4 linked regions of the Sus scrofa genome follow. The protein of the gene in region 3 interacts with the protein of the main gene of each other region in a pairwise test. Links are inferred from orthologs where the notes say so. Each region holds a gene or a part of one and is shown on either strand. Other genes may lie near its edges.

Evidence for each region.
Region 1: the proteins of RGS2 (region 3) and CTSB interact in a two-hybrid assay, tested with the Homo sapiens proteins (2 studies listed by BioGRID and IntAct). The link is inferred for Sus scrofa from reciprocal best matches to the Homo sapiens genes RGS2 and CTSB.
Region 2: the proteins of RGS2 (region 3) and WDR74 interact in a two-hybrid assay, tested with the Homo sapiens proteins (2 studies listed by BioGRID and IntAct). The link is inferred for Sus scrofa from reciprocal best matches to the Homo sapiens genes RGS2 and WDR74.
Region 4: the proteins of RGS2 (region 3) and DDR1 interact in a two-hybrid assay, tested with the Homo sapiens proteins (2 studies listed by BioGRID and IntAct). The link is inferred for Sus scrofa from reciprocal best matches to the Homo sapiens genes RGS2 and DDR1.

Annotation. Positions count from the first base shown.
Region 1 is NC_010456.5:15,031,947-15,036,171, forward strand, and holds the start of CTSB (cathepsin B precursor), read right to left. Parts: upstream 2,806-4,225; 5' UTR 2,731-2,805; exon of another isoform or gene 2,717-2,730; coding exon of another isoform or gene 2,566-2,716; intron 1,927-2,565; exon of another isoform or gene 1,860-1,926; intron 1-1,859. UniProt on the Homo sapiens protein: Thiol protease which is believed to participate in intracellular degradation and turnover of proteins. Cleaves matrix extracellular phosphoglycoprotein MEPE. Involved in the solubilization of cross-linked TG/thyroglobulin in the thyroid follicle lumen.
Region 2 is NC_010444.4:8,930,064-8,934,334, reverse strand, and holds the start of WDR74 (WD repeat-containing protein 74), read right to left. Parts: upstream 2,806-4,271; 5' UTR 2,797-2,805; coding exon 2,733-2,796; intron 2,652-2,732; coding exon 2,545-2,651; intron 2,451-2,544; coding exon 2,329-2,450; intron 570-2,328; coding exon 494-569; intron 368-493; coding exon 221-367; intron 54-220; coding exon 1-53. UniProt on the Homo sapiens protein: Regulatory protein of the MTREX-exosome complex involved in the synthesis of the 60S ribosomal subunit. Participates in an early cleavage of the pre-rRNA processing pathway in cooperation with NVL.
Region 3 is NC_010452.4:937,276-941,522, forward strand, and holds the start of RGS2 (regulator of G-protein signaling 2), read right to left. Parts: upstream 2,809-4,247; 5' UTR 2,793-2,808; coding exon 2,683-2,792; intron 1,616-2,682; coding exon 1,514-1,615; intron 1,414-1,513; coding exon 1,352-1,413; intron 822-1,351; coding exon 655-821; intron 370-654; coding exon 172-369; 3' UTR 1-171. UniProt on the Homo sapiens protein: Regulates G protein-coupled receptor signaling cascades. Inhibits signal transduction by increasing the GTPase activity of G protein alpha subunits, thereby driving them into their inactive GDP-bound form.
Region 4 is NC_010449.5:23,379,135-23,383,276, forward strand, and holds the start of DDR1 (epithelial discoidin domain-containing receptor 1 precursor), read left to right. Parts: upstream 1-1,337; coding exon 1,338-1,428; intron 1,429-1,518; coding exon 1,519-1,621; intron 1,622-1,828; coding exon 1,829-2,057; intron 2,058-3,716; coding exon 3,717-3,864; intron 3,865-4,116; coding exon 4,117-4,142. UniProt on the Homo sapiens protein: Tyrosine kinase that functions as a cell surface receptor for fibrillar collagen and regulates cell attachment to the extracellular matrix, remodeling of the extracellular matrix, cell migration, differentiation, survival and cell proliferation.

The DNA of each region.
Region 1 (4,225 bases), on a different chromosome or scaffold from region 3:
TTGGACACAGCACTGTCTGTGGCCTAGACAAGTGGAAGGTGCACACATCATATGACCCAGTATCTTCCTGGACTTCTGCTTCTGCACTAGAGAAACACCTGCAAGAAGCTGGCAGAGACAAGGATATTTACCGTAGTGGTGGTGAGGACAGTGAAAAAGCAAAAACCACTTAACTGTCCCTTAGTAGATAAATACACGGTGCATTTAAGATGAATGACCTGGAGCTGTCAGTATCAACATAAATCAGTCTCACAGACACAAGTGAAAAGGATACACGTGGAATACAGTTGGTCAATTTTAATCACATTATTCATGGGCTGATACAAAGTATTAAAAAAACAGGAAAAAAAAAATCAACCCCAACCATGCAGGAAAATTATAAAGAGATGAGCAGACTGGAGTCCTTCAGCCATCAGTAAGACTTGAAGAGCAAAGAAGCTGAAAGTTGCTGCCTGCAGAACAGAGCTGTAGCCAGGAGGGAAGGCACTCCTGCTGGGAAGCCCCTCCTCCCCACCCCAGTCCTTGAGCACTGTGAAAAAGGGATGGGGATGAGGCCTGAGCTTTAATATGGGATTGGTTAAGTCTAAATATTTAATGACAATTGATCCCTGGATTCCCCTCCGGCCCAAGCTAGGTGGGATGGGAACATTCCAGCCATGGAAGGAGTCAGGAGTCTCTCCACCCTCCCTTGCTTGGGCAGCATGAGCTGAGAGGAGGACAGGAGACCAGGCATAGACTGCTTCCCAGTGGCCTCCACCTGCATGTGCCTCAACTAGATTCATCAACTACTTTCAACCCTGACAGCTCTACACAGGAAGCTAAATGACATCCAAGTGTCCAATCACAATCCTCCTTGACCTACAAGATTTCCATTGCTTTATAGTTTGACCTCCCATGTTTCCAGTACTTTATGTCAAGATAAAAAACAAAAACAAGCAGCAGACACTGAGTCCTTCTCTCCTAAGGACAGGGATATTTAAACACAACCACAACTCATCCCCACATTTAAGAAAACCACCCAAGAGATGTTCCAGGATTCACCTGAAAGTGATCTTCTTTCACTTCTCAACCCAAATGCCCATGGTAACACAAGATCTCTCTTAGCCCTAAACTGTGTGTGACTTCCTACTCCAACTCCCAGGGCTAGTAGCCAGGGAAAGGGCCAGTCTACAAGGAGGACCTCAGTTCAAGCTGGTGAATCAGCAGGAGGCAGGTGTTCCTGGAGCCTAAGGGCTTCTACCCTCACCACCTGACCAGTTCAGAAACAGGGCTGTCCTGACCCAGCATCATGGGAGGTACGTGGAGCCAGGGCTATGTCTGGCCGGCACTGCCCCTGGGCCTGTGAAGCCCCCAGGTAAGGGATCTGCACCTTTCCACTCAGCAGCACCCCAGCTCTGGGACCAATGCCCCCAATAGGTTGGGGCGAATCCTTTCGCCAGATGCCTTCAACTCTTTGAGAAAGTCACACAGAGTGAAGGCAGCCCAGCCCCTGATCTCTACAGAGCTTAAAGGCACTAGGTCACCATCACCAGCGCCAACAGGAAACAATTCTCCATGAAGTTAAGGATGTCAGGGAGAAAAGGAAAGTAGCCTTTACCGAACCAGACATCCTTCTAAGGCTCTTCCTCTTAGGGCTCTGCATCCATAGATTCAACTGAGGTGAACGCCCTTCAGCTGCATTCCCCTCTAGTGGAGACAGCTGAGGATCAGGCTTTCCAAAGGTCTCCCTTTGAACACCCCACCCCCACCCCCGCCCCCGCGTATGAGTTACTGTCCTCCCCACACCAGCCAACCGGCCTCCTCAGTCCCTGGGGACGGGATTGGGGCCCATTACGCAAGCAAATCCAACTCACGTCTACCTGGACAGCCCGCTGACTCCCCAAACTCAGCCACCCTAAGACGCTCCTTCTCCCAGGCTTCCAGGGTCATTAAGTGAGGGAGGAGGCGATGCCCAAGGACTCTGCCCTGCCTTCCCCTCCCCCACAGCACCATGGGCCCAAGCGGATTTCCCTTCCCTAGCAGTCCAGGAACAGAGTCTGCACCCCTCTCCCCTCCACTCCCCCAGGGTCCCGGGCCCTACAGTCTCCTGTCCCCCCCCCCCGCCCCAGTTTCTCCTCCCACCCAAGGATTTAACTCTTCCGGTGGGTCCCACCCTGCCCCACCCAGGGCCAGGTTCCAGCTTCCCAATTTCTGTCTTCTGGGGACCCTGGAACCGTGTGTAGTTGTGCAAACAAGCTGCCCGGGGAAAACCCTTTTGGAAAAAGAAAACATCTAAAGCGGACGCAGGCAAATAATATCCACTCAGCAATTTGCTGAGGAAACTGAGGCCCAGCAGCTCACAAGCGGCTCCCGGGGTGCAGCCGAAAGTCAGTGGGTCGGGGCTGAGCTTTTCCTCGCAGGCTCCTCCCTCGGGCTCCCCCGCAAACTGCCCAGCCCCGCCGTACTGCCCCACCCCACCCCTCACCCCGGCCCGACACCGCGGTCAGGCCGGCCCGGGGTCCGAACACAGCCGGAGCTGGGGTGGGGTCCGGCCGCATGCGTGGGGGTTGTTTTTGCTCTTCTCACCAGAGCCACGACCGGGAGTGCGCGGGGGCCGCCCAGCTCGCCTCTCCGTTTCCGCCGGCCCTGGGACACCGCCGGGGCCCGGCAGAGGTACAAGCCAGCCGGTCTCCCCATCCCTCTGCCCCAGGTCACTTCCGCCGGGGGGGCACCGCATCCGTACGCACTCACCGCGCTCCGCCGCCGCCGCCGCCGAGGGCCTAGGTCTGCAGCCTCCGAGCGCTCGGGCAGGTTCTGACGCCCGAACAGCCAGCCGCCTTAGCTTCCCAGAGCCGCCCCCGCGCTAAGTACCGCACCAGGCCCCGCCCGCGCCCTCCTCCGCCTGACTCGCCACGTGACCAGGGCAGCTGGCGCCGCGCCCCGCCCCCACCGGGTCCCCAGCAGCCTGGGAAGGGCTCAGAACCTTCCTCATCCGCCTGTACCCCTCAGTGCCCCAAGTTCTGCGTTCTGCGAGCGGAAGGGCACGCGAGGTGGGCCTGAGAGGGAGAGGGTCACCCCTCCTGGAGAAATTCCCTGGGGCCGAGGGGGTCTGGGCCCAGCGCAGCAGAGGACACGGATCCCTGCTTGGGACAGCTGTTCCTTATTTCATTCATTCAGAAACCACTGCCACAGATGGGGGTGTCATGACAGCAGGCCTCCCAGAAGAGCCTTAAAAGGCTGTTAGCTTGAATGTGCCTATCAGATGTTCTAGATATGTAAGAATTTTTAAGCGGTAGCTAAAACTAAATATAGAACTACCATATCCAGCAATCCCACTCCTGGGCCTGTATCCAGAAAACCATCCTAAAGATACCATGCACCCCAGTGTTCACTGGAGCACTATTTACAATAGCCAAGACATGGAAGTAACCTGAATGTCTATGAATAGAGGATTGGCTAAAGAAGACATAGTGTGGGAGTTCCCGCTGTGGTGCAGTGGGTTAAGAATCTGACTGCAGTAGCTTGGGTCCTTCTGGAGGTACGGCTTTGATCCCAGCCCAGCACAGTGGGTAAAGGATCCAGGGCTGATGCAGCTGCAGCTCGGATTCAGTCCCTGGCCTGGAACTTACATATACCGCAGATGCAGCTGTGGGCGAAAAAAAGATGTGATACATATATGCAATGGACTATTACTCAGCCATTAAAAAAAAAAAAGAATGAAAAATGCCATTTGCAGCAACATGGATGGGCCTAGAAATGACCATACTAAGTGAAGTCAGAGAAAGAAATATATGAGATCACTAATATGTGGAATCTAATAAAAAATGATACAAAAGAACTTACAAAACAATTTGCTTTGAAAATCTTGAGTCTCTGATTACCAAAGGAGAGGTGGGGGGGGATAAAATAGGAAATTGGGATTGACATATATGCATTACTGTGTATAAAATAGAAAGGTGACAAGGACATACTTTATAGCAGAGGGATATCTACACAATACTGTATAGAGATATATGGGAAAAGAATCTGTGAATTTTTTCTTTTTAGGGCTGCCCTTGCAGCATATGGACATTCCCAGGCTAGCGGTCTAATGGGAGCCGCAGCTGCCCTGCCCACCTATGCCACAGGTTCAAGCTGTGTCCCTGATCCATGCCACAGCTCAAGGCAGAGGCCGGATCCTTAACCCATTGAGTGGGGCCAGGGCTTGGACTCGCATCGTCAAGGATACTGGTCAGGTTCCGTACCA
Region 2 (4,271 bases), on a different chromosome or scaffold from region 3:
TGTATGTCCTGGTCCCAGATGGGAACTCTCAGGTCAAGCCAATCATTCCGCACCTGGTGGGGCAGGTAGATGAGGGTCAGGGTTGTGGGGGGCTCAGAGTGCCCCTTCCTCCCACCCTCCATCGTTATCCCCTAAAGCCAATCTGGTCTCTGACTCACAGTCTTTGGCCGAAGCCTCCCTGGATCTTAGACCCGGCCCCTTCCCACCCACCGTCACTCACGTTCTTGGCCTTGAACACAGGCTCCTCAGACCCCTGCAGGTCCCACACCTTCAAAGCATTCTCCTTCCCACCCGTGGCAACCACATGGGGGCGAGATGGGTCCTGGCGCATCCTACACACCCCAGGGCCCACTCTCAGTTCTAGGAGCTGAAAAGAATGCGAGATGAAAGTCAGTTCCTGAGTCCTTAATCCTCCTCCCCCAAAGCCTTCATGTGGCTCCTACCCTGGGCCCCACCTTCCCCAACCATCAGGATCTGAGCAGGGGAGCCTCACTGGGTCAGAGGATGCTTCCTTGTCATTGTCATGCCACACTCGAAGTATCCCAGATTCCACACACGTGATGAGGGTGCTGCAAGGAAGAGGGAGGATAGGCTTAGGTTAAAAAAAAGTGCCAGGGAGTTTCTGTTGTGGCTCAGTGGTAATGAACCCCACTGGTATCCGTGAGGATGTGGGTTCAATCCCTGGCCTTGCTCACTGGGTTAAGGATCTGGCATTGCCATGAGCTATGGTGTAGGTTGCAGATGTGACTCTGATCTGGTGTTGCTGTGTTGTAGGCTGGCAGCTGCAACTCCAACTGGACCCCTAGCCTGGGAACCTCCATATGCCGCAGGTGTGGCCTTAAAAAGACAAAAAAAAAAAGTTTCAACGTGTTCTCTGGCCCTAGTCAACCCAGACCCAAATTCATACGAACTAGACTTCCTCCTACCAACCCTGTTACTAAAGAAGCCTCTCGGTAACTCAGGTCTACAGCAGGGTTTTATGGCTGTTATTTAATTTCAATAGGGTGAAGAGCCTGAAGCTCTGAAAATTAAAAGATTTGCCACTCAGCTATTGATGTCAGAACCAGGGCTAAAAATCAAGCCTGTGATACTCCAAAGCAGAGAGCTTTTGCTATTCCATAGCTACATGTGGGGCACCTGGCCCTGCTGGTCTTTCTGAATCTTCAGCCGATCACCAGGGGTCAGGATCAGTGGCTCTGAAAGGACAGTAATGGGACTGCTTTGGGTTTAATGTCTGGCCAAAGTCAAATACCAGCTGTTCTCAAGTTCCCTGTCCTTGGTTAACTGGATGCTAAATTTCAATCTCTCCCCCAAGTATATTTCCCATGAAGCCCAAACAAGTCTCTCTCCAGCATCTGCACAAACCAAATCTATGCCCTTTCTCATATCTGCCCACCCTCCCCACCTTGGATCAGGCTCTGGGCTATGGTAACAATCTCCAACTGCTGTCTCTCCAACCCATCCTCCATAATCCTGCAGGGCTCACAGCTCTGACCACCACACTTCCTACTCAAAAACCATAACTCCCCACCACATACAGAAGTGCAAATCTCTCAGCCTGGCACTTAAAACCCTTTTTTTTTACCTTTAATCCCAACCTACCTTGCCCATCTCATATTAAAATGCTTCTCGGCTTCAATCCCCAAACGCTATTTATTTCTCTTTCCCATGATGTATCCTGTAGCCTGACACCAGTCCTTACCTCTGCTCGGGCAGTAGCCTCTTTCTAGAGTGCCCTTACCCGCTTCTCCATCTGTCAAAGTTCTACCCATCATTCCAGACCCAGTTCAAAGATCTCACCCCACAGCGCCTTCTAGATCTCACTTGTCAGAATTAACATCACCAAAACTACACAGCCTGTTCATAGCCCGTCCATCTTCCGAAGAAAGCTAAGCCTGTAACTTATCACTTTCCTATCCTTTACTGTGGGAGCTTTACCGATTTGGTGGTTGGTAGCCCCCATCTAAAAACACACTCTAGGTGATATAAGACACAAATGAGAACATACTCTAAACTATTAAATGACTTGCTCAGGGTCACCTAAAAAGTCATGGACCCAAAAGAACAACCCTTGAGGATGCAGACTCTAGGAAGGCAGGTACTGTGTCCAGTTTACCTGCAGCCCTTGAATTTCGTCCAATGCCTGTAATCCAGTAGGTATTCAATAAATGCTTATTATAGAAATGAAGGAACGAAGGCAGGACAAATGTCCCTGTCACACAGATCAGGCTCCTGTCACCTAAGACTTGATCCCCATTGATCGACCGTCGTGCGGGAGCTTCAACTATCTGCCTATACCTGAGCATACGGCAAGGGTCTCGGTCTTACCCGTCAACCTGGGCGAGGCCTCGGAAGGTGCCCTCGCCTCCGGGGCAGTGCCTCTGGCCCTGGAACCTGCCCTCCTCGGTGCTGAAGAGCTTCACTGTCCTATCGGCACAGCCGACTAGGATCTGCAGGCAGAGAGAGCAGGGCAGGATGGCAAGAGGAGCGAGGCTGCCACGCCTCAGCATCCCCCCTGCTCCAGCACAGTTAGAGGTCGCTCACCTGGGTCTCGCCGCCCGCGCCCCAGCACAGGGCGCTCACCGCCTCCTCGCGCTGCGGCTGTCCCGCCGCCGTGTAGTTTACCGCTTGTTTGCGCTGAAGGTTCACCCCTGCGGTCCGGGGACGTCAGTTACGCCGGGGTCGCGAACGCATGACCCCCGCGGTTCCAGACGCCCAGGCCCATCACTCACCTTTCAGGATGCCGGTGTCGGTGCCGACCCACACATGATTCCACCGCGCCTCGGCAGCCGCCATAACGGAGATCCGGATCCGGCTCGCACTTCCGGCGCAGCATTTGCGTCACCAGCACGCGGCAGGTCGGATCCGGATAAAGGCCATTTCTGGGAGCGTAGAGAGCAGGAAATGTAAAAATTCCCCCACTGCGCCAGCTGGTTTTGCTTTTAAGAAATGAAATCTAGGAGTTCCCGTCGTGGCTCAGCGGTTAACGAATCCGACTAGGAACCCTGAGGTTGGCGGTTTGATCCCTGGCCTTGCTCAGTGGGGTAAAGATGTGGCGTTGCCGTGAGCTGTCGCAGAGGCGGCTCGGACCCCACCTTGCTGAGGCTGTGGCGTAGGCCAGCGCCTGTAGCTCCGATTGGACCCCTAGCCTGGGAACCTCCATATGCCGCGGGTGCAGCCCTAAAAAGCAAAACAAGAAAGAAAACATATATCAGGAATGATTCAAGTCGCTCATATGAGGCACATCAACCTTGAGTATAAAAAGGACGAATTCTGGGAAAATAAAACCGACTTTTTTTTTTTTTTTTTTCCCCAGATCCCATGTGGGATCTGAGGCAAGCCTGCGACGTACGCCACAGCGCAGGGCAACCCAGATCCTTAATCCACTGAGCGAGGCCAGGGATCGAACCTGCGTCCTCAGGGGTGCTAGTCAGATTCGTTTCTGCTGAACCAGGACGGAGAACTCCAAAAGTGACAATCTTTTTTTTTTTTTTTTTTGTCTTTTCTAGGGCCGCACACGCGGAATATGGAGGTTCCCAGGATAGGGGTCTAAAAGGAGCTGTAGCCGCCGGCCTACACCACAGCCACAGCAACTCGGGATCCGAGCCTCGTCTGCGACCTATACCATAGGTCACGGCAACGCCTGATCGTTAGCCACGACGGGAATTCCCAAAACTAACAATCTTTAAGCAGAACTCTGTTTTGGAAAGTGGAGGTAAGGGCTTAGTTTTTATTTCCTCACATTGAGGTTTGGGGATGGTAAAAAATTAGTACCAACTGAGAGTAAAAATCTGCAAATCTAACAGAAAAAAAAATCTTTCTCCCAAGGGATAAGCTGCAACTTTAAAATGTCATAACGTCCCCCTTTCTTGAATGACTGAGACATTTTCTCTGAAATCAGAGACTCTCAACTATTAGAGGAGTTCCCATCATGGCTCAGTGGTTAACGAATCCGACTAGGAACCATGAGGTTGCGGGTTCGATCCCTGGCCTTGCTCTGTGGGTTAACGATCTGGCATTGCCCTGAGCTGTGGTATAGGTCGCAGAGACGGCTGGGATCCGGCATTGCTTTGGCTGCGGTGTAGGCCGGCGGTTACAGCTCCGATTGGACCCCTAGCCTGGGAACCTCCATATGCCGTGGGTGCGGTCCTAGAAAGACAAAAAAAATAAAGTGCTGTTTAAAATTATATCGGGAGCTTCCTAGTGGCCTGGCGGTTAAGGCTTGTTACCGCTGTGGCGCGGATTCAGTACCTGCCTTGGGAAATTCTTCA
Region 3 (4,247 bases):
GACTGCTCCTGGCTTCCTGACTCACTAACTCCGAATCAATAGTTCTGAGTGATGTTTCCTCAACACCCAGGCTGAATTCAAGGTCAGTCTTTTCGGCAGGTGACAGCCTTTCCCCTTAGGAAACAAAAAGAAAAAAAGCAATGTCCTCGTTGCGGGGCTCCCGTTTCCATCTCATGTGGCATGGGGCTCTGTGGTGATCTGCGGCGGCTTCCTACACAAGTCTTGGTAGAATTCAGACTCCAAGAAACGGGGATAAGAGTTGTTCTCCATCAAGCTGTACACCCTTTTCTGGGCAGTTGTAAAGCAGCCACTTGTAGCCTCTTGTATGTTTTGGGCAATGAGAGTTTTGGTTTGAAAGTCTATGTTTATCTGAAATGAAACAAAAATAGCGGTTTACTGCATATTCAGAGGTGGAGACTGACGTCTATGCGATACATGAAAGCAAATGAACAAGCAAAAGACCTCCAAAACCATGAGGGGCGGAAGAGGTGCCCCAGCCGCCCCCGTAGAAAGGTCATTCATCTCGCTGAAAGCCAGAGGGGAAAATATTTACCCCTCCTTTTAGCTTGAGGACTCTTCTATTCTTTCGTTTCACTCTGGTGCTAAGAATGTTCAACAGATACGGAAACAAGGACATTTTTTTTTCCTCCTTACCTCTTTTGGAGCTTCTTTTTCTATGAAGTCAGTGTATATTTTCCTGGCTTTGGAGGACAGCTTTTGGGGTGACTTTGTTTTTTTGAAGTCTTCACAGGCCAGCCAGAATTCAATATTTTCTTCACAGAATTCAGATTTCAAAAAAGCTCTGAATGCAGCAAGACCATCTGGGGGGCAGAGGAGAGGAAGCATGAAGAACGTGAACTGAGGGACCTCATAATCCCTTCACTTTTCTCCTAGGCCTCCCTGGCCCTGGCCCCCTAATTTTCTTATCTCTAGATGAAAGCAAGATTTCTAGATTTCACTCCCGCTTTAGAACTGAGCTCTTCAGAGACGAAGATGCCAGTCTGCAAAATGCTTAAGGTGGCGCCCTGCTGTGCTCAGCTTTGCTGTTGACCCAGCCGTTTACGGGGGAGCTTTGGTTCTCTGTGTGAACTAAGCCTCTTGAGAACACTGTATGCAATGGAAAAGCTGGCTCAAGCTTACACCAAGGGCCATTCCAGTTTGGCGCTGATTTTGCGTCCCACCTGGAGTGAATAAGCCCTGCGTTTCCAGGGATAATCCCCGGGAAACGGCGGGGGAAGAAACAGGCCTCAGATGCTGGAGACAGTAAAGTCAAACTCCCTGGGGCCGGATGCTCCTCCTTTCTAGACGCTTGGGCTCCTTGAAAAGGACCAAATTCAAGGGGTTAACTCACATTTGCTGGCTAGCAGCTCATCAAATGCTTCTGCCCACAGCTGTGCTTCCTCAGGAGAAGGCCTGCAAGAGACGGTCACATGTCAGCTCACACCTGTCTGTTTCCCCCTTCTGTTCAGCAGCTGGTGGCCTAGCTTTGCAAGGACTGAGATTTTCAACTTACTTGATGAAGGTTTGCGGTTTGCTTTTCTTGCCGGTTTTGGGCTTCCCAGGAGAGGAGGAGTTTTGCAAGAAGTAGCTCAAACGGGTCTTCCAATCTTTTAATCTTAAAGAAGAAAAAAAAAAAAAAAAAAAAAAAGACTTTTACTAAGTGCCAACACTTGAAATGGCCACACCACTGCAGCTAAAGGTTTTTTTTTTTTTTTTTTTTAAACCAAATAAAGTCACTCCCAGTAGCTACAGACAACGAAGTAAGACAAAACAGTCCTCCTTCAAGTCAGTCTTACCCCTTTAAAATATAAACCCAGCACCTATGCCTGGAACAGTTTCATCTACTCATCTGAACATAACTGCTAGTTTTATAACTACGCGTAGGATAACCTACAATTATAGGGTATTTAATGAATTTAGCTGGCATAGTTCAAAAGGCAGATGCTATTTCTGGCCCACAAAAGGCAGCAGCAGTTCTGCAATGTTAATTACAATTCTGAGACATTTCACACTTGATGAAACGGACAGTGGAACTGCCCGGAGCCAGCCATGGGTATTTCCCTTCCACCCTTAGAGCAGGAGGATCTGGACCACTCTAGAAGCTGTGAACAATGAGGTGAGGTGCGTGTGCGTGTGTGCGCGCGTGTGTGATCGCAACTACAACACCCATTTTAACCAGATGATGCAGAACAATTATTTGTTCCTTAGTGCTGGGTGGGTGAGATCTGTTGTTAAACTGGAAAAAAAAAAGATTTTAAAATAATATATTCAGAGCTAGCAAAAATATTTCCATCCCAGCAGCTGTGTAAGTTGATGAGAATTTACAATGCAACGTACGAATGCTGGGGACGCGCCTGGGCTGCAGGATTCTCTGGTGTCATTTTCGATGCGGGGAGATAAAAACCCAACCTGCGATTCCTCAGCTCATCTACCACCGCCTCTGCATCACGAATTTGCCGCAGTTCCTCGACTCTACCCTCGAGTCCTTCGGTTACATCACAAAGGACCCACCACATAGATTTAACCCTACCTAGCAAGTGTATCTTTTACACAATGTTTTCCCCTGCAGAGATGGAGGCACCGCTCCAGGGTGGAAGCCAAGCGCGGATGTACCGCGTTTGCAGCCGCCCGGGACAGCTAGGTCCGCGGGGCTGGCAGGGGAGAGAAGAAAGCCGTACTTACAGGGTCCGCTTCATCTTCTCCCGCTTCTCCTCGCTTTTGGGGCCGGTGCCTGCGCTCTTGTCCATGGGTCCGCAGTCGTGATGGACAGTCAGGAACATAGCACTTTGCATTATCGTCTACGCTCCCGGGTGCCCGCTCTCTGCTGCCAGGAGCGCGCCGCGGTATTTATAAGAGTCGGAGGCTCGTGGGCGGCGCCTCACGACGCTGGGCCCGCCTTCAGCGGGTGCCGATTGGCCGGCTGGCTCCGGGCCTGGGGCGGAGTCTGCGCAGTCCCGGGCACCGCCGAAGGGTCTGGAAGGGAGGGCGCCGCTGACGTTTGCGGCCGCAGCGTCGTGCGCAGGCGAGCCCCCCGCGGCGAGGCGCTGGGGCTGCTGGTGGGGGCCGAGGAGTTTCCCTTCGGGCAGCCGCCGGAGGCCTCTGCCGGCTTGGGGCGGCCGGCGGGGTGGCAGAGCTTGGGAGGCGTGGGGCGGGTTGGCTGCAGGCCCCGCGGGGCGCTCGCCCGCCCCTCCCCCTCCTCGCCTCCGTCCCCTCCCCCACGCGCACTTGCTCCGGACCCCAAAGGGAGGGGGGAGTCCCCAGCAGGTCAAGGTTACTTGCTGGGAACCTGAGTGCAGTTACTCGGTTTTGAATTCGGATGTGTTCCCTCTTTTTTTGGAGCGCACACCCTCTCCCCGCGCCTCCTTTCTTGGTCTGTAAACTGAGGCCGCGGGGAGATGCTCACCTGCTCCTCTTTTCGTCACCGATTCATTGGCGGAAGGAAAGGGAGAAGGGGGGGCGGCGCAGGGGCGGGCGGTGTGACCTGCTCTGCAGCTTCCCTGGACAACTTGGAGAACGTTTGGGAGGGACGTCGTCGGTCAGGGGAAGGAACAGGAGAAGAAGTGCTTTACCTGGGTGTGCAGTTTTAGTCACCAACACACACGAGGCTGGGTCGGTCCTTGGGGTTGCGTGCTCCTCCTCTGGAGTACTTGGCTGCTTGTCCTTAGGGAACACACGGGGAAGTCACAGATCTCCTTCTCAGGACGTAGAGGGAAACACCAGGACCTCGCAGCTGTCATTTTAGTGTAAGAATGCAAAGATGCAGGATTTCCTCATGAGTCATTCTTAGTCGGCCTAGAATTTACCAGAACATTTACTTGGCAAAAAGGAGAGGTGGGGGTGGAGGGAAGGCTAGGTTAACAGTTTGCTTGAAGGAGCTTAATTTGCTAAATTCTTCAGAAATTGTCCTGCTGTAGCACGATTTAAACGGTTTGATTGGTAAGGACGAGTAGGTGACCTCAACCCCGGTGTGATCGGATAGCGAACAATTTTATTAGATCTGTGCAGTGGAATGTTCAAGGGGTTTTCCTGCCAAGCATCGAAGTAGCAGGGAGATGAACCACAAGGTATTAGGCTGCAGAATTCTCTCTCCTTTGCATTAGAACTGTTAAAAGAAAATTGGAACTGGTTTACCATATTCTGATGAGGAGCTGCCAGTAGCTGGAGCTCCAGGATTGACTTGGAGAGCAAAACGTTTCTATTACTAAAGAGAACAGCCATGTACTCAGCTATGGAGAGGAAGATCGTTT
Region 4 (4,142 bases), on a different chromosome or scaffold from region 3:
CTGCTCGTGGACTTCCAAGGGACCAGGCATGATGCTTCTGGTTCCAGCTCTCCTTTGATACCCAGGTCCCCCCACAACTCAGTCAACCCCCTCAGCTGCTGCTTTGGAGCTGTGGGGTCTCAGCTGCCTCTTACATTCCTGCCCTGGAGCATTATGGGAGCAGCTGGAGGACAAAAGGATGGGGGAGTATCCCCCATACTCCTCCTACCTCCTGGGGTGACCTGGCTTCCCTGTCTTTAGGCCCGCCCTCATCTCCAAGGCAACTCAGCCTTTTCCTCAGCCCTGGGCTCTTTCTTCAGAAATTGGGAACTGGGGATAGCAGGGTCTTAGGAAGGGAAGGCATAGCAGGGAGAGGGGATGGGATGCTTTGGACCTGATGACAGAAGGGGTAAGGGTGTGAAGGGTGGCCCTAGGGGTCCCCAAGGATTCCAGGGCCTGGAGGACTCAGTGAAGACCTCTGTTGGGAAGAGGACTGGTCAGGACTGCTTTTCCTGAGGCTGGGGAGGGTAGATACCTAGGTTCATAAGAACTAGTCGTTGGGAGTTCCCGTCGTGGCGCAGTGGTTAATGAATCTGACTAGGAACCATGAGGTTGCGGGTTCGATCACTGGCCTTGCTCAGTGGGTTAACGATCTGGCGTTGCGTGAGCTGTGGTGTAGGTTGCAGACGCGGCTCGGATCCCGCGTTGCTGTGGCTCTGGCGTAGGCCGGTGGCTACAGCTCCGATTAGACCCCTAGCCTGGGAACCTCCATATGCCACGGGAGTGGCCCAAAGAAATAGCAAAAAAAGAAAAAAAAAAAAAAAAAAAAAAAAAAAAACTAGTCGTTGGAATGGTTTTGCGGGGAGGTGGGGCAGGGAGGGGCGGCAAGCTGCCTGGGCACCAGTGAAGAAGAGTGAGGATTCTCAAGCTTTAATAGGCACAGATAACCTGGAGATTGTGTTAAAATGCAGATTCTGATTCAGCAGGTCCAGGGTGGGACCTGAGATTCTGCATTTCTCCCAAGTGCCCAGATGTTACTGAGGCTACTGGGTCAGGAACCAGAAGGGCTATAGAGAACATTGAGATTGGAAGGTGCTGGGTTCCCCCACTTCTCTTAGAATTAAGTTCCTAGGTGGGGAGGGGACCAGAGTTCAGCTCAGTCTTTGGCACATGGGAAACAGTCTAAAAATTATCCCAATTATCACTGCAATTATCCCAAAGCAGCCCATTCTATTTGTCTCTTGTTGGCTGTGACTCAGTTTCCCTGATTGCCCTTTAACTTACTCCCCCCCCAATACCCCTTATGTTCCCTGCAGAGATGCTGCCCCCACCCCCTTAGGCCCGAGGGAATAGGAGCTATGGGGCCAAGGGCCCTCTCATCTCTACTGCTACTGCTGCTGCTCTTGGTGGCAACGGGAGATGCTGACATGAAGGGACATTTTGACCCTGGTGAGGAGACTGGCTCTTGGGTCCCTGAGGGATGGGGCTTGGGAGACCGAGTCAGGAGCCATGACCCTCTGTATGCCTGTGTTCACCCAGCCAAGTGCCGCTATGCCTTGGGCATGCAGGACCGGACCATCCCAGATGGTGACATCTCTGCCTCCAGCTCCTGGTCAGACTCCACTGCGGCTCGCCACAGCAGGTATCTGGCATACCTGGGGCTGCCCCAGAGGGAGCACCTGGGGCCTCCACTCACCCTTCCAACTCTCTGCCCAAGCCAAGAGGCTTATGAGAGGGCCAATGCCAATAAAACCCCCACAGTACTGGGCGGGGGCAAGGGACTTTAAATACTGGAGACTGAGGCAGACCTCAGGCCAGGTGTTCCCTGTGACCTCCTGCCTCCTCCCAGGCTGGAAAGCAGTGACGGAGATGGGGCATGGTGCCCTGCAGGGCCAGTGTTTCCCAAGGAGGAGGAATACCTGCAGGTGGACTTGCGGCGGCTGCACCTGGTGGCGCTGGTGGGCACCCAGGGGAGGCACGCGGGGGGCCTGGGCAAGGAATTCTCCCCCAGCTACCGGCTGCGTTATTCCCGAGACGGCCTCCGCTGGATGGACTGGAGGGACCGCTGGGGCCAGGAGGTAAGGCTGGCAGGGGCAGCGCCCAGGGAAGGCTGGCTCTGCTCTCCCCTCCAGCTGTACTGCCTATGCACTGATGACTTGTAATGTCTCCCCTCTCCAGCCCAGGCACCCCCCTGAGCTCCAGCTAGTGTTGCAGACCTGACCACTCTCCACCTAGATGTCTAATGGGCATCTCAAACTTCCATAAACTTCTCAAGCTGAACTTGAGTCCCATTCCCACCCTAAACCTGTTCCTCCCCCAGCATTCCCCAGCAAGTGGTACTGCCGTATGTCCAGTTGCTTAGGCCAAAGCTAAGATGATATCCTTGATTCCTTTTTTTCTCTCACCTTCTACTTCCAAAGCATTATTTAGCGTAATTTAGCAAGGCCAGGCTGTTCTAGCTCCATGATGTTTCCTGAATCCAACCCCTTCTTACCACTTCTACCTCTATGGCCCTAGGCTGGGCCCCTACCAGCTTAGATCAGTGCAGCAGTCACCAAACTGTTCTCCCAGTTTCTTTCTTTCTTTCTTTTTTTTTTTTTTTTTTTTTTTTTTTTTGGCCTTTTTAGGGCCAAACCCACAGCATATGGAACTTCCCAGGCTAGGGGATGAATTGGAGCTGTAGCTGCCAGCCTACACCATAGCCACAGCAACACGAGATCCAAGCCATATCTGCGACCTACACCACAGCTCACGGCAACGCTGGATTCTTAACCCACTGAGCGAGGCCAAGGATCGAACCTGCATCTTCATGGATCCTAGTCGGGTTCGTTACCACTGAGCCACAATGGGAACTCCCTAGCTTCTTTCTCTCCTGAAGTTAAATCTCCACCTGGAGGCTATATCCAGGGTACTGGAGAAAATGCAAATCTGATGCCTCACACCTGGCTCACAGCCCTCTGCTGGCTTTCCTTGCTGCCAGAACAAAAGCTGAGCTCCTTCCTCAGTACAGAGGCTTAGCTTGTGTTGGCTCCTGTCCACTTCCCTTACTCCTCTCACTCTAACCGGAGCCATGCTGCTTTTCTCACTGTTCCTGGAATAAGCTAGGGCTCCAGACACTTTCACTTGCTGTTCTTGGTGCCTGGAAAGCTCCTCCTCTAGCTGTCCACAGGCGCTTCCTCTCTCCATTCAATTCTCCCCCAAGATGTCACCTCCTCAGGAAACCTTTTCTGACTCCCCACTTCCCGCTGCTCTGGCCCCACATGCTGCCTCTTGTTTCTCCTACTGGACTCTCAGTCCCACTGGAGGGACTGATGCTCACCACCGAAAATGTGCCTGCCTGGGCAGAGTGGGCGCTCAGCCAGCATCTGCTGAGTGAACAGAGGGATCAGGGTGAAGGAAGAGGGGAACCCAGAGCAGAGGTGCAGAGCCTAGAGGGACTGGGCAGAATCGAATCTGGGAACAGGGGAATGAATAGCTTAGAGACAAGTGGGTGGAGCCAGGCAAGGGGTAGGAGAGCTAATGCTGGAGGTCAGGACAGCCATCAGGCTGAGAGAGGAGTCAGAGGGCTTTGCTGCAGCCCTTTGGCATACAAATGCCTGCCTGTATCGCACAGCCCTGGGTACTCAGTGCCACCTTTCCTGCATCTCTTTGTGGCCTAGGGAGCAGCTAGGGGCTGGGAAGTTAGATCCTATTCGGAGCCCTCTCCACCCATCCACTTCCTGCATCCTGCTCCACAGGTGATCTTAGGTAATGAGGATCCTGGGGGAGTGGTGCTGAAGGACCTTGGACCCCCCATGGTGGCCCGAATGGTTCGCTTCTATCCCCGGGCGGACCGAGTCATGAGCGTCTGTCTGCGGGTGGAGCTCTATGGCTGCCTCTGGAAGGGTGAGTTGTTCAGACCCCTGAGGATCCCTTCCTGTCCTGGGGACTGGGAAGTGGGGACAGCAGGGAGGGGCGTTCAGGATCCTCCTTCTCCTGTTGGGAAGCTATCACTCTGAGTAACAAGGGGACTTGCCTCCTCTGTGCCAGCAGCCTACGGAGGGATATGAGAAAGGGGCCTGAAAGCCATTCAGGCCCAATGCAGGGGTGGGGGATGGAGGCTCCGTGCCCCTAACACCCCTCCTTCCCCTGCCCCAGATGGACTCCTGTCTTACACGGCCCCT